2 linked regions of the Elephas maximus indicus genome follow. The protein of the gene in region 1 interacts with the protein of each later gene in a biochemical or structural test. Links are inferred from orthologs where the notes say so. Each region holds a gene or a part of one and is shown on either strand. Other genes may lie near its edges.

What was found.
Region 2: of the proteins of CDKN1B (region 1) and RNF6, one has a biochemical effect on the other in vitro, tested with the Homo sapiens proteins (2 studies listed by BioGRID, with this or other methods). The link is inferred for Elephas maximus indicus from reciprocal best matches to the Homo sapiens genes CDKN1B and RNF6.

What each region holds. Positions count from the first base shown.
Region 1 is NC_064822.1:71,306,785-71,314,691, reverse strand, and holds the start of CDKN1B (cyclin-dependent kinase inhibitor 1B), read right to left. Parts: upstream 3,004-7,907; 5' UTR 2,707-3,003; coding exon 2,232-2,706; intron 1,714-2,231; coding exon 1,592-1,713; 3' UTR 1,584-1,591; intron 1-1,583. UniProt on the Homo sapiens protein: Important regulator of cell cycle progression. Inhibits the kinase activity of CDK2 bound to cyclin A, but has little inhibitory activity on CDK2 bound to SPDYA. Involved in G1 arrest. Potent inhibitor of cyclin E- and cyclin A-CDK2 complexes.
Region 2 is NC_064841.1:57,961,925-57,969,890, forward strand, and holds the start of RNF6 (E3 ubiquitin-protein ligase RNF6), read right to left. Parts: upstream 3,042-7,966; 5' UTR 2,756-3,041; intron 2,736-2,755; exon of another isoform or gene 2,554-2,735; intron 2,225-2,553; exon of another isoform or gene 2,014-2,224; intron 95-2,013; 5' UTR 76-94; coding exon 1-75. UniProt on the Homo sapiens protein: E3 ubiquitin-protein ligase mediating 'Lys-48'-linked polyubiquitination of LIMK1 and its subsequent targeting to the proteasome for degradation. Negatively regulates axonal outgrowth through regulation of the LIMK1 turnover.

The DNA.
Region 1 (7,907 bases):
ATATAATTTATAAAGGCCCTTCAAATGAAAATTCAATCAGTATCTTTTTTAAAAACTCAGGAACAAATAAATATTCTCTTATTTACAGACAGAATATACACATACATGCTTTTGAACAGACCTTACTACTACTCCTAGGATTCTTTAAATTGGCAACATTTACTAACGAATGTCTCTCTGCATGTCAGAATGTGGTCAGAATTCAGTAGTTCTGATTCACAGCGGCTCATGTAATGAGCAAAGCCACAAGTCACAAACCAAAAAGAGCTGTATGTGTTAAGGTTGCTTCAAGAAAAATTTTCCTACTTCATACAGAACTGTATATAATAGAGAGATTTTATAGTGCCATTTTGTATAAGCTCTAAAAATATATACATGTGTGGAAAAGTCATACATATGACATTATAATGTTTTAAAAACACAACAAACCTGAACCCCGCTTTAATCCTTGTGGGAATTTATTTTAAAAATTTTATAAACTAGGATTTAAAAAGTTAATATCAACATCTACTATGATCTTTTTAAATGCTAGGCTTTAAGTGTGCTTTTTGGAGGAAAAAAAAAAGGGTTAACAGTCCTCGTTTTTAAGAAGCCTGTAAACTACTAGAATACATGCAGTTTGATTATCAGGCACAGCCAATCCACTTGAGTGCTAAAGTATTCAAATTAGCTATACATGGTGATCAAATTTTAGTAAATGGAAAAATCTCCACTTCTCTTGTGCCTGGTAGACCTACCCTTGGCAAGCCCTGATCTGTACTACCCATTTCCCCTACAAATATCTACATTGTCCTGTTATAGCATGATTAGCATACACATGCTGACGTGTTCCTGGATTGCTTACCCTGGCAGAGTTCATTTAACTTCTGCTTTGCAACTTTGGTGTTACCAGAATTCTACAGGAACTTTAGTATTTTTGAGCTTTCACTAGGGATTTTTTTTTAAAAATATGCAGGCTCCTTCTCTCCCCCAAATTTATCAGAAACCAGATAATGATAAGTGATAGTCTATGAAAACAGTAAAAAGAAAAGAACACAACATTCCACCCTATTCACATTTCTAATCACTTGATTAACCAAATGTGAGCTTTTTGTACCTAACTTCCCCCCTCAAATTTGAAAGCCAATCATTGAATGTATGGCCTCAAAATCTGTTAGTGACTCAACCTGAACCTCTGGGAAATGAGTCCTCATGAAGTGGGACTGAGGCTTACCCCAGTTCTCACTCAGATGAGGAAAGAACCTATTGTTCCCAGCATGTTTTGGTGGGACTCACAAGGAAATAACCTTCCTACTCATGGGGTCTTGGCTACAAGTACTTGCCTAGCACACTTGTTCTAGCTGTATAGTGTGTTAAGGGAAAATTATCTCAGGACGTAGATTTTGAAGAATTACAGTATTCCCACAGTGATTCCCCACGTTTCCCCATTCCTACTTTTTTGACCTCACAAAATAAAAACAAACACCCACGAGCTCCTTATCTGCCAGCAACCAGGAAGATCAGGTATCTTGGGGTTTTCTGACCCACAGGGTTCCTGCAGCCCCATTCGGGTGTCAGTTGTTTGCTCTTAGTAATCAACCCACCAAGCGGTTTATGTTTGACGTCTTCTGAGGCTCGGCTTCTTGGGCGTCTGCTCCACTGAGCCTGCGTTTGGGGACCCTTCTGAAACATTTTCTTCTGTTCTGTTGGCTCTTTTGTTTTGAGTAGAAGAATCTAAGGACAAGGGGAAATTCCAAAAAAAAAAAAAAAAAAGCACACACACAATCTTTATTAGAAAAAACAATGGCTCAGACAAGTTGACCCCATAGTCAGGGAATGAAAAACCCACTACCTCCACCCACAATCCTGGATCCTTCATCACAGTGCCCTTTAAGTGCACAAAATCAGATTGTTTTCACGTAACAAAAAGTGTATTCTACGCCCCAAATCGCTCTCTCCACAGGGTAGAGGAAGGCCGTTGATAAACATCTCAACATTGTCACATAACTAAGGCTGGAAAAGGAACTGCGATGTTTTAAGTTAGTGAAAATATCAGATATTACCCCATCGCTGGATTCTGGTTTAAAAAGCGTAAACAAACAAGCAGTCAGCAGGTAGCATTCACAGCCCAGGATTAATAAAGTTCGCTCCCAAAATCTAGATCAGAATACGGTACAAAGAGCTAAATTTAAGACCCTCAAGCAAGCAAAGCGCTGCCCCAGACAGGCATATACGTTTGAAAAGGTCATTACCGTCTGTTGCAGGTCTCTTCCGTATCCCAGGGCACTGCTCCGCTAACCCCGTCTGGCTGTCTGATGTTTCAGTCTTTTGGTCTACCAAATGTGTGTCCTCTGAGTTTGCCTGAGACCCTATTAAAGGCACCGCCTGACGGCTCCCGTTGACATCCTGGCTCTCTTGCGCCGGTACCTTGCATGCGCCTTTGGGGGGCCGCGGGGGTCTGTAGTAAAACTCGGGCAAGCTGCCCTTTTCCATCTCTTGCCACTCGTATTTCCCCTCCAGGGGCTTGTGATTCTGAAAATCAAAATTCCACTTGCGCTGGCTAGCCTCTTCCATGTCTCTGCAGTGCTTCTCCAAGTCCCGAGTTAACTCTTCGTGATTCACCGGGCCGAAGAGGTTTCTGCAGGCGGAGGGCTTAGGGTACTCCGCCTGTCTGGCGTCCATCCGCTCCAGGCTCGGGCTCCCGTTAGACACTCGCACGTTTGACATCTTCCTCTCGAGTCTTTACTACCGCCTCTCTGGCTCTCTCAAAAAACAAAACCGAACAAAACAAAACGCCCCGACCCAACCCAACCCCCTTTTAGAAGCTCTGCGACTGCCCTCGGAGCCAAGAGAAACAAACACCAACAAGTAAGTGCCCGAGCTTCAGGAGCGCGCTGGATCTGGGGGAGGGAGTAAGGGGAAGCCCCGGAGAGGCAGCCGAAAGTCTCCGCAGATCAAGTGTACCGGCGAGCGGGAGGGCGGGGAGGGGAGGGGAGGAGGAAGGAGGAGGGGGCGGAAAGGCCAGGCCAAGTCCCGGCTGCCGCTAGCCCGCGGGTCCCGCGAACCCAGCCGCTCTCCAAACCTTGCCGGCGTCAGAGTCGCGGAGCGGAGAGAAAGTGGGGAGAAGGGAAAGGGAGAAAAACACCCTGAAAAGGCGAGCCCCCTTTTTTTAGTTGCCCAATATGGCGGTGGAAGGGAGGCTGACGAAGAAGAAAATGATTGACACCGCAAGTCTATTTAAACAGAGGAGGAGATCCATTGGTTGCGGCGCCGGGAGCCGCCCAGCTGAGGCTGGCGAGCGCGGCCTTAAGGTGGCCCCGGCGCGGTTCCGCCGCCTCTCCGCCTTCCAGAGCGCGCCGACTCCGAGAGCGCAAGGAGGAGATTGGCTGGTCCCGTGATTGCTGGAGGTGTACTGCTGCCAGCAAACCTGCTCTGGCTGGCCTCGGAGAAATTAAAAATAAGACAAACAAACTAGCCAAACGGCCGGGAAGCTGGGGAGGGGCCTCTGCGGCGGGGCAGGCGGGGCCATGGGTACTGGTCCCCGCGCTGCGCTGGCTGGCCCGCCCGCTCGTTAGCCCAGACCTCCAGCTCCTGGCCGGTGAAACGAAGGGGCTGGACCAGATGATCTGTAATGTTGCTCTCCTCTCAACGTTTTGAGCCTCGGTGGCGATCTTGTTTTCCCTGCACTCGCCGAGCCGGAGGCGCGGGGGAGTGGAGGGCGGAGGCAGATGGTGCGAGCTGAGGCTTCTTCTGGGCTCGAGGCAGTGGCCCCCACCTCGTGCTCTGCGGAGGAGGTCAGGAAACCTTTGCCGAGGGCCAGGACCACCCCCCTCCCCGCGCACCCCATCCCTGCCTCCATGTCAGAGTGCCACAGGGGGTGGGCAACGGTTAGCTCAGGCTTAACCCAGAAGTTAAGGGGAAAAGCCAGGGCTAATGTCTTTCTATAAGGTAGCCAGGCGCAGCCTTCATACTGTGTTCTGAACCCAAGCTCTCACGCATTGGAAAAGAATCTAAAGATCAAAAGCTCGACTGCTTGCCCAAGTCCCTTAAACTTTGTAGCCGTTTCAGATACATTTAGTTTTGAAAACCGAGGTTACACCCTTGGCCCAGGTTCTTGCTTCCCCAGTACACTTAAGGCCACTGACATTGACTGCGTGTGGGAACTCGCCTCCTTCTCTTTATACTTTTCAATTCTTTCACGGGTTGTAGTAGTTTCCTCTACCTGAGTCCAGTCGCCAAAGGCAACAGCTCCTTCCTTCCTCCACCTTTCTCTCCCACCGGCTTCCTGCTCCAACACACCCAAACTACGTTCAGATGCAACTGGCTGCTTTCAGAGGACTGCAAGCTGTTGAAAGGTGAAAATATTTCCCCTAAGAATCAAAGTCTATGTTATGAAATGATTTATAAAACCACCACAACCATGTCCTCATGCCTGACGTGATTAGGTCATTTCTCCTCTCCGCTCTGCAAATTGAAACATATCAGTCAGTTTGGTCTTCAGCTCGGTGGTGGAAGTTAAAACTGGGTGGGCAGGGTTGTCATAGCTCAGTGGGTCTTTAACTGCCTTCCCAGTCCCACTCCCAATACACATAATCTTCCTTGGACCAAAGTAAATAAATTTTACTGGAAATTAACCTCCATTTCTAACACAGGGCCGCTATGAATCGGAATCACTCCACAGCAGTGGGTTTTTGGTTTGGTTCCAACATTGCACAGCAGCAATGTGTTCTCATGCACCTATGCTATCGATGAGTTTGATTTTTAACTTGCTTTCACAACCACGTCTTATTTGTCCTCTGTATACACTCTGGAATGTTAGTGTGGGGAGGGTCCCTGGGGACCCTGTGGTTCAACCTTCTCGTTTTACCACTGAGAAAATTGAGGCTCAGAAAAGTTTCCTGTCCAGGGACACACATTCAGTTGGTAGCAGAGCCAGGACTAGACACAGGTCTCCTATCTCACAATCTGATTCGTTTTCTGTTCCTTTCCTTCCTGATGGAAACCCTGGTGGTGTAGTGGTTAAGAGCTATGGCTGCTAACCAAAAGGTTAGTAGTTCAAATCTACCAGGCACTCCTTGGAAACTCTATGGGGCAGTTCTACTCTGTCCTATATGGTTGCTGAGTCAGAATAGACTCGGTGGCAGTGGGTTTTCCTTCCTGATGGTTCCAACTGGTTCAAGTTTTTGTCTGGATTAGCTTGTGCTACAGGCCTTCCTTTCCTACTCGTGGTTCAAAACGGCTCCTTCCCAGGCCCGGGACTGCTTGCAGATGTTTCCTTGACGTGGTCTGTGGTCACTGATATTTAAATGTTGCCATTACTGGCCTTTAATATCACTATCAACTAGTTCAACTAAACGCAGATTCCAAAAGGACAGAGGTGGCACCCAGGGAGCAGTGAGGGAATACAGTGTACAGAATGGTTTCAAAGTCAGGGCTTGCTACCTGGCTGACAGAAAAGAGTTCACCTAGGATCAAAGCAGGAGGTCTCATCCTCTTTAATTGTCTACGTTTAATGCCCCACTAAGTTGTTAGGTTAGGAAGGGGGGCAGGAAAGTTAAGATAGATTTCACGACCTTAATTTATATCCTAGCCCTGAAATAAGGTGTTTTTGCCCAAATTCTTAAATCTCTGCTAGACTACAGAGGAATTTTATATTATGTATGCGTATATGTGAATAATAACTACAAACTACTACATACATGAATGGAGAAATTCTAGAGTACTAGCTTGTCACAGAAGTTTAATTTTATAATGGGATTAACATTTTGTATAAAAGTAGAAAATGAATACTTCTATCCCCTACACACTGAATCTTCAGTTACTATGTGGGAGCACCATTTTGTTGCTTTGTTACTCTTGAGAAATAAACGAGCCACGGTGAAGCCACCTTAAGAAGTCTGGCTGCCAGCAGAAGGGCTGTGCTTACATGACCTTGCTATGATCTAAAGTGTTTTGTTTACAGTCAAGGCACCGGAGATCTGTACAGCAAATAATGAGAAGGCAGGCGTCTGCTGTAGTATCAGCGAAGCGTGAAAAAAATACTATGGAGTCCCCGAGGGAAGAGAGAACGTGGAGATCAGAGCGCCATGCTCCTGTGGAAAGTAGGTGGCTGCAGAAGAGTAAGCCAGGGAGAAATTTTTCAGATAAACAGTGCAAAGGCGGAGCCTGAGTAAAAAAGAGTTCCACTCACACTGCTCAGAAATGGGCTCTGCTTCCCCAAGACCCAGGATCTAGTCGTGTGTGGTGTTTTTGTTGTTGTTTTCACTTCTGGTGGTTTCCTAGTTAGAGCTGAGAAGTCTCACATAGCCAAGGCCAGATGTCTGTCTTTCATGTTCTGAGGAGTGAGGCAAAGACCAAAATAACTTAAAACACCTGTGAGTAGACAAGTGTCAAAATGAGGTGGTGGGGCTGTGTTAGCCCTGCTCCCAGATGGAGCCCTCTCACGAGGAAATTACGTAGCCCCAAATATTTCTCTGATGGTGCATGTTTCCTTGCCCGGTTGCCCCTTCCACCATAAATACATAATTTTAATCCTTCCTCAAGGATGTTTATAATGAGGTAGCTTTCACTCAATATCACCATTCCCTGTCTTTTTTTTTTTTTTTGCCATATTTGTAAAGAATTTGGAAATTTCACAGTCATCTGTATCTTAAATCTTTTAAATCAATTTAACAAATATTTATGGAAAACTTTTTATTAATTTGTTCGTTCTTTCTTTCAACAAATATTTTTTGAATGCCTACCCAGCCAGGCATTATCCTAGGCTCTGGGGATACAGAAGTGAACAAATAAAAACTAGAATGTAGCTTATGTCCTAGTGAGGAGAGAGGAGACAGAAAATAAATGCAACAAATGAGTAAAATATGCACTAGGAAGAAAGTGACGAGTCCTGTGGAGAAACACTGATCAAGGGAAAGGGAAAGCCAGGTGTGTGAAGGTCACAGTGTGAAGAGTGGTCAGGGAAGGCCTCACCCAGAGAGTGGCCTTTGAGAGAACCTTGAAGGACATGAGAAAGTGAACCATGCAGACATCTGGGGAAAGAATGTCCCAATAAAGAGAACAGCAAATGCCAAGGCTCTGAAGTGGCTCTTGCCTGGTGTGTTCAAAGAACAATAAGGAGGCCCATATAGTGGAGAGTGCTGAGCAAGGGGAGAGTGGTAACAGGAACAACAGATCACATCGGACCATGTAGGCCTCTGTAGGCTCTTTATCATTCACTCAGTGATATGAGACGCCATTGACACATAAGGAGGTTTTGAGCAGTGGAATGATGTGATCTTAGCATGTGTAAACCATCTTCCATGGCATTATTCTCAGCAGCCTGAGGAGTGAAGAGGTCACCAAGTCACAATCCCTGCATTTAGGGAATGTACACCTTAGTTGGGGAGGCCACCATGTGTACAAAAACTACAGAGATAGAAAGCAATAAATGAAAGAACATGGTGCTGTGGAGTACAAGGCGGGGAGAAAGAAGAAGGGTTCATGGAGGAGATGATACATGAATGAGCAGACTGTAGAGAAGATTGTAAGGGTCTTTGTGATCTGAGGTCATTGTGGGACTCAGGGGAGGCATGCTTTTTCCTGAGGCCGGATGGAAGTCATCACCAGGTGGACGATCCCTAGAAGTAGGAGGGAACTTTTGACTCCTCCACAGCAGTTCTTCTGCAAAATGCCTGAGTGCAGACACAAGCGCACTGGGTCTCTGTGGACCTCCTGTTGGGAGACAAGTCTCTCAAGGTCCCAGATGGCCAGAACTAGAAGAGACTGGATAGGTCATCCACCAGCAGCTGTCAGGCAGTCCCAGGGAATTCACACCGTAGTTCAGGATGTGCTGTCTGCTTTAGGGAAGCAGGGCCTGGCTGTGTGGCTGGACCCAGACCACTCCGATGTCTCCTAAGTGAAAAACAAGGAAACTTAATAAATATAGT
Region 2 (7,966 bases), on another chromosome or scaffold:
ATTTTCACGATGATCATGGTCTTGAAATGAGGATTCTTCACCACCATCATCTGATCTAGATCTAGACTGACTCATACTGAGATTTCCTGGCTTTCTGTTCAAACAATACATACAGAAGTCAAGGTATTTATTCGTGGATGACACATGGCTTTATATTTTTACCTTATAGCTTTTATCTGTTTTTTTTTTTTTTTCGTATTTATTTGGTCTTTTTGTCCCTACTCAAATACTTCATTTGCCAAATCTTGTGAATATCCACACAAATGAAAAACAGCTAAGAGACAGAACACAACAGGACCTACTTCTTTGCCTAAAGTCATAGTTAAAGTCAGACTGGATTTGGCTTTACCACACAACTTTCCATATCTGAATCTCAAAGTGAGTGCCTCATTTTTTTTTAACCCCTCAATATTGTGGTTAACTCAGTCTAAAAACCCTTACTGATGTTTCAAGTATCTGGATATTTCATGTAATTCATAAATTTCAACCTTTAATTATTTACGTTCTTTACTTAATAAGCAAGGGCTATTTGTATTTATTTTCGGCAAGAATATTCTTCTCAAAATAAAACTCAGATAAACGTACTATTACCGCATTGCACTTTGTTGAGGTAAAAATAATTATTCCTCCCGATCTCTCTTGAAAGCCTAACAGAAAGCCTTTTGAAATTTAACAGTAAAGAGCCCTCCATGCACGGCTCTGAGAACTGTGAGAGTGCAGAGAGCGCTCCCCAAAGCCTGGAATCGTTAGTCCCATGTCTCTGAGTACCGGGGAAATTCTTCACCTTGCCTAAACAAACACTTTATTTATATTATGCTTAAATGTCATCCCTGAGAAACCTACTTTTAAAACACAAAAACCAAAAAAACCAAACCCGTTGCCACTGAGTCATTTCTGATGCATAGCGACCCTACAGGACAGAGGAGAACTGCCTCATAGGGTTTCCAAGGAGCACCTGGTAGACTCGAACTGCCAACCTTTTGGTTAGCAGCCGTAGCATTAACCACTATACCACCAGGGTTTCCAGGAAACTCAAAACCAAACCCACTGTTGTGAGTGGATTCCAACTCATAGCTACCCAGGACAGAGTAGAACTGCCCCATAGGGTTTCCAAGACTGTAAATCTTTATGGAAGCAGGCTGCCACATCTTTCTCTGGCAGAGCAGCTGATGGGTTCAAACTGCCAACCTTTCAGTTTGCAGCCAAGTCCTTTAATCACTGCACCACCAGGGCTCCTTACTATAAGGAAATCATGGCAAAAAAAAAATTTTTGTAAATATCTTAACTCTTTTTTGAACATTTATTAAATCACTAAGGCAATGGTTCTCAATTGGGAGTGCACATCACAACCACCTGAAGAAATCAAAAACAAAAAAAAAGGAATGTTCACATCTCATCCCCAATTCTAAATTAGAATTTTCCAGGGTAGGGCCAACACCTATCTTTAAGAGCTCATTTGAGGTACTGTGATGAAATAAACTATTCCCAGACAATTTCTGTATGTCACCAAAGGGTGCGAGTTAATGTAAGTTAGTAAAGGCCGGAGGATCAAATGATTTAGGTTGCCAGTTGCAATTCTAATTCTCAATATATAAATATAAAAAATACTAGGTGTTAAATCAGCATATTGCTTTAAATATAAAATTAGCTTACAGTTCTAAACTACTGTATAAGCCAGCACTTACCCAAATTCGTATGTACTGTACCAAGCAATTACAAATTCAAGAATTTTTTTTACAGTGACCATGTCTTTTTTAATGAAAGATCTAGAAGAGCAATCCACTCAAATGTAAATCAACATTACCAAAAACTTAAGATTTCTTTCCCCTTTCAGAATAATCAGGACCAAGGAATCTATTTAGTAGGGACAGTTTTAATAAAATTTTTGTACTAAACAATTTAAAAAGTTGATACCTATCATAAATCAAGCTCCTCTTATTATTACTCAAAACTTAAGAGCATCTCCTCACAGGAAATTTTCTCGCATAATTTACCACAGATCAAAGTGAATACCTTATTTTCCTTTCAATATGCTTTCAATATATGCAACGGTATCCATCTTTCAATTGTTCGTGTTTTTTTTTAAGAATTGCCCATCTGAAGCAATTGGAAAAGAGCCGAATTATTCAAACTAATCTGTCTTTTGGAAGGCCGGAACTGCTGGTAGTCTCCACTCCGCTGCAAGACAAAGCCAATTCTCCCGTGGATTTTCTTAGACACTCACCTAGAAAATGAGATCCCCACACAATTAGGTCATGAAAATCTCCCGCCAGGCCCTTTGCTCCCACAACAGAAATGTAGGCCTTTCCTCCTACACTGTCCCAGCCCCAGAGATTACGCTCCTCTCTCCCAAAGGCCTTCCTGCCTCTCCTCCTCCCATTTAGCTGTGGCCAGGATTACGTGTGAATACACTTTACTTTTAAACCTTCACTTTCTTGCCCCTCTGCCCGCCGTCCCGCTACTAGTTCCCTTCTTGTCCGTTGCGACGGAAGCTCGCGCCTCGGGGACAGTCCCGACTGCAACAAACAAACTCGGCTCCAGGGCCCAACCAACCTCTTCCCAAACGAGAGCGAAGTAACGCTTCCCTTGGCGACCTAGATTCCCACCCGGAAGTCAGTGAGAGACAGAGCATTCCAACCAATCACTAGCTAGAAGAACTGATTGAGGGAGCACTTAACCAATCAGAAAAGAGGAAGGCGGCCCCAAGGATGGCCTGCTTTCTTCGACGGAACTCACGGCTTTCCTCCAAACTCACCTCGCCTGGAATGAATCCTCTGGAAAAGTCGACGGCGGCTCTCCTTTCGGGTCCTAAAACTGACTGGGAGGCGGAAGAGGCTTGCCACCGCTTCCGCGGAGGCCGATTCGACCACTAATCATTTACTGAGAAGCCGGAAGCCTGTGCTACGGCTTAGGATCTTCTAGCTGGCGGGGAAGCTATGGAGGAAAGACCGACTCCTGCGCTTTTTTCCCTACAGGCAGTTCAGTCTCCTTCCGGCTGAGGCACCGCCTCGATCGAGGGGAGACGCTCCACCTTCTGCCGAATGCTCGCTGGTGCGCTTGAAAACTGCGTCCGGAGGGAGAGCCAGGGTGCCTGAGTTCCGCGTTCCGCTTACTCAACGTTTCTGTCTCCTTGGGTTTTCTAAGCTAGTATCAAATTCAGGGCCGCTCAGCGCGCGAAACAGCCACGTATGCCCACAGACACGTCCTGCTTGCCACTCTTGATGGGTACCAACACTTGCTCTGCCCTTTCGTGTTATTTGTTTGCCAAGCCTGGCTTCGGAGCGCAACACAACAGTCTGTTCGGCTCTTTTTACTGTCCGGGTATAACGTAGTTCAACAACCCGGACGTTTTCCTTAATCTTATTGGTACCTGGGTATGACAAACCCTAATAAATCCTAAAATGCTTACATTGACTTTCCCTCCAGAGTCGCTGTGAGTCGGAGCCCTCGTGGCGAAGTCGTTAACAGCTTGGGCTACTAACCAAAAAAAAAAAAGTCAGCAGTTCGAATCCAGCAGCCGCTGTTCAGAGACCCTGTAGAGCAGTTCTACGCTGTCCTGTAGGGTCCCTATGAGTCCAAATCGACTCCAGGGCAACAGGTTTGGGTAACAAAAAAGATAAAAAAAAAAAAAAAAGATACAGTCCTTAATATCAGTGAGCAACTAGTGTGGTATGAGTTTGTGGACAAGTAAAAAATGTAAGTTAAGCAAGCAAAAAATATAAAATATTATATATACTAAAATAGAAATAAATAAACAGCACAGCCTATAAGGCCCTTCAGGGAGCCCTGGTGACAACAGTGATTAAGTGCTCAGCTGCTAACCAAAAGATCTGAAGTTCAAACCCTCTGTGAGAAAAAGATATGGTAATTAATCTGCTTCCGCAAAGATTAAAAAAAAAAAAAAACTCACATTGGCACAGAGTGGATTTAAGTCATAAAGATTACAGCCTAGAAAACCCTGTGGGGCAGTTTTACTCCTATAGGGTCACTATGAGTTGGAGTGACTTGACAGTAAACAACAACAAAAAAAACAAGACCCTACAAAATCTCTCCCTGCATGCCTCTACAGACTGATCCTTCTTGGCACTCCAGAAGTACTTAAAGTTCCTCAACAATGATAGGGAAGCTCCTGAGCCACTCCAGTCATGCTTTTATCTCACTAATTTCTTCTACCTCCTGGGACTTGGCTCAAATCTCACTTCAAGAAAGTTCTAATACCTCTGTAGTGACACCCTCACACCACCCCCAGCCTAATCTGCACCCATAAAACTAGGCAGGTGTCCCTTTGGGGGGCTCCTATGGCTCCCTCTGTATGCATCCATTTTAGCCCTTTCTCATTTAATAAATACTTATTGACTGCCAACTGCATATTAGATGCTGGTATTAACATCAGGGAATCAGACACACAAGATCCCTGCCCTCATGGAGCACAAAATTCAGTGGAAAAAGACAGCCATTGAACAAGTACTCACAATGATTTTCTGTTAACTTATAGGTCTAGTCCATTGGAATCTAAACCCCTTAAGTATAGACAAAGGGCTTTTATTCAATTTTATAATCCCAGGATTTAGCACAACACCTGGCAGAACATTCTCCTCAGTCTACTGCATGGATGAGTGGAGAAAAAAATGCAAACTTTGTGCAAGAAGGATTAATGTGTATTAGAATAATGACCTCAGAAATTGTGAGTGTAAATCAGAGAAAACAACATGTGAGATAGCCAAAATTCAAGCAGAAATCATTTTAAATATCTCTTTGAGTTTTAAAAAATGCCACATTCTATCGAGTGCAAATACTTTTAAAATGTTAAGCAGAAAAGACTTGTACATCCGTTAAGAGTCAAATAAATGTAAAATCTAATAAAGTGATCTACCTGTCAGAAAACTGTAGATTTCTGTGAGTAGGTAGAGAATCCAACACCTTCAGTTTTTTTTTTTTAATGTCTTTTATTTGAATCTTTTTATTGTAAGGAATATGACATAATAGGTCTCTAAAGGTAAAACTTTTTTATTGTTCTTTAGGTGAAGGTTTACAGAGCAAGTTAGCTTCCCATTCAATAGTTTATACACACTTTGTTCCATGACATAGGCGGCATTCCCCAAAATGTGTCAGCACATTACCACCCTGAGTTCTCCATTTCCATTTCTCTGGTTTTCCTGCCACTTCCTGTCTTCTCATCTTTGCTTTTGGACATATGTTGTCCTTTTGGTCTCATGGAGATGATTATTTTAAGAAGCACTTTTATCATGGGTGTTCTTGTTTATTTTATAGGCCTGTCTATTATTTGGCTGAAAGGCGATCTCCAGGCATGGCTTTGGTTCCAAATTAGAAGGGTATCTAAGGGCTACATTCTCAGGGGTTCCTCCAATCTTTCTCTGACCAGTAAATCTGGTCTTTTTTTTTTTTTTTTTTTATGAATTTGAATTTTGTCCTACATTTTCCCCTCACTCTAACTGGGACCTTTTTGTGATCCTGTTCAGAGCAGTTGGTAGTGGTAGCCAGTCACCATCTAGTTCTTATGGTCTCAGGCTGGTGGAGGCTGTGGCTCCTGTGGTCCACTAGTCCTTTGGACTATTTCCTTCAGTCTTTGGTTTCCTTCACTCTCCTTTGTTCCACACACATAGATGGCTGCCTGAAAGCTGCAAGAATCCATAGAGAGACAGCAATCAGAAATTCAGAAGATTAACAATAAAATTTCAGAATTAGACAACTCAGTAGAAAGTCAGAGGAGCAGAATTGAGGAAATGGAAGTCAGAATTAGTGAGATGGAAGATAAAAAACTTGGCACCAATATATTCAAATAAAAATTGTACAAAAGATTAAAAAAAAAAAAAACCCTAAGAATCATGTGGGACTCTATCAAGAGAAATAATTGACGAGTCATTGGAGTACCAGAACAGGAAAGGAGAACAGAAAATTGTTGAAGATATATTGACAGAAACTTCCCTGATACTGTGAACGATACGAAGATATCTATCCAGGATGCTCATTGAATCCCACATGAGATAGATTCCAAAAGAAAATCACCAAGATATATTATAACCAAACTTGGCAAAACCAAAGATAAAAAGAGGATTTTAAGAGCAGCTAGGGATAAACAAAAAGTCACCCACAAAGGAGAGTTAATAAGAATTAGCGCAGACTACTTAGCAGAAACCATGCAGGCAGGAAGGCAATAGGATAACATATATACAGCATTGAAGGAAAAAAAAATCACCAGTCAAGAATCATATATTCAGCAAGACTGTCTCTCAAATATGAAGGTGAAATTAGGACACTTCCAGATAAACAGAAGTTTAGGGAATTTACAAAAGCCAAACCAAAACTACAAGAAATACTAAAGGGAGTTCTCTGGTTAGAAAATCAATAATATCAGCTATCAACACAATACTAGAACGCAGGACAGAGCAACTAGGTGTCAACCCAGATAGGGAAATCACACACACACAAAAAAATCAAGATAAAAAAATGCTGAAAACAGGGAAACAGTGATGTCATTATGTAAAAGATGGCAACATTAAATCAATAAAGAGGGACTAAAAAATATAGTCATAGATCTTTCATATAGAAAAGAAGTCAAGGTGATATAAACAAATAAGAGTTTGGTTTAAACCTAGAAAAATAGGAGTAAATATTATGGTAACCACAAAACAGGTTAACAATCCTATGCATCAGAATAAAATACAAGAAAAAATGTAACGACTCAGCAAAAACAAAATCAACAATGAAAAAGATGAAAAGACTATAATATAAAAAGAAAAACTACTCAGCACAAAAAATTAAGTGGAAAAAAACCTGTCAAACACACACAAAAAAAGACATCAAAATAATAGCACTAAACTCATAAAACATAATTACACTGAATGTAAATGGAATAAATGCACCAATAAAGAGACAGAGAGTGGCAGAATGGATTAAAAAAACATGATCTGTCTATATACTGCCTACAAGAGACACACCTTAGACTTAAAGACACAAACAAGCTAAAATTCAAAGGACGGAAAAAAATATACCAAGCAAACAACAACCAAAAAACAGCAGGAGTGTCAATATTAATTTCTGACAAAACAGACTTTAAAGTAAAATCCACCACAACGAAAAAGGAAGGACACTATATAATGATTAAAGGGACAATATACCGGGAGGATACAACGGTATTAAATACGTACCCAATGACAGGGCTTCAGGTACATAAACTCTATCAGCATTGAAAAGTGAGATAGACAGCGCCACAATTATAGTAGGAGACTTCAACACACCACTTTCAGTGAAGGACAGAACATCCAGAAAGAAGTTCAGTGAAGACACGGAAGATCTAAATGTCACAATCAAGGAATTTGACCTCATAGATATATACAGAACACACCACCCAGCAGCAGCCAAGTATAATTCTTTTCTAGTGCACATGGAACATTCTCTAGAATAAACCACATATTAGGTCATAAAGCAAGCCTTAGCAGAATCCAAAACAATGAAATACTACAAAGCAGCTTCTCTGTCATAAAGCCATAAAAGCAGAAATCAATAACAGAAAAAGCAGGGAAAAGAAATTAAACAATTGGAAACTGAACAATACCCTGATAAAAAGCAAATGGGTTATAGAAGAAATTAAGGATGGGATAAAGAAATTCATAGAATCCAATGAAAATGAAAATATTTCCTATCAGAACTTTTGGGACACAGTGAAAGCAGTGCTCAGGGGTCAATTTCTATCAATAAATGTACACATCCAAAAAGTAGAAAGGGCCAAAATCAAAGAATTATGCCTGCAACTTGAAGAAATAGAGAGCAACAAAAGAAATCCTGGGGAACCAGAAGAAAGCAAATAATGAAAATTGGAGCAGAATTAAATGAAATAGAGAATAGAAAAACAATTGAAAGAGCTAACAAGAACAAAAGCTTGTTCTTTGAAAACATTAACAAAATTGATAAACCACTGGATAACTGACAAAAGAAAAACAGGGGA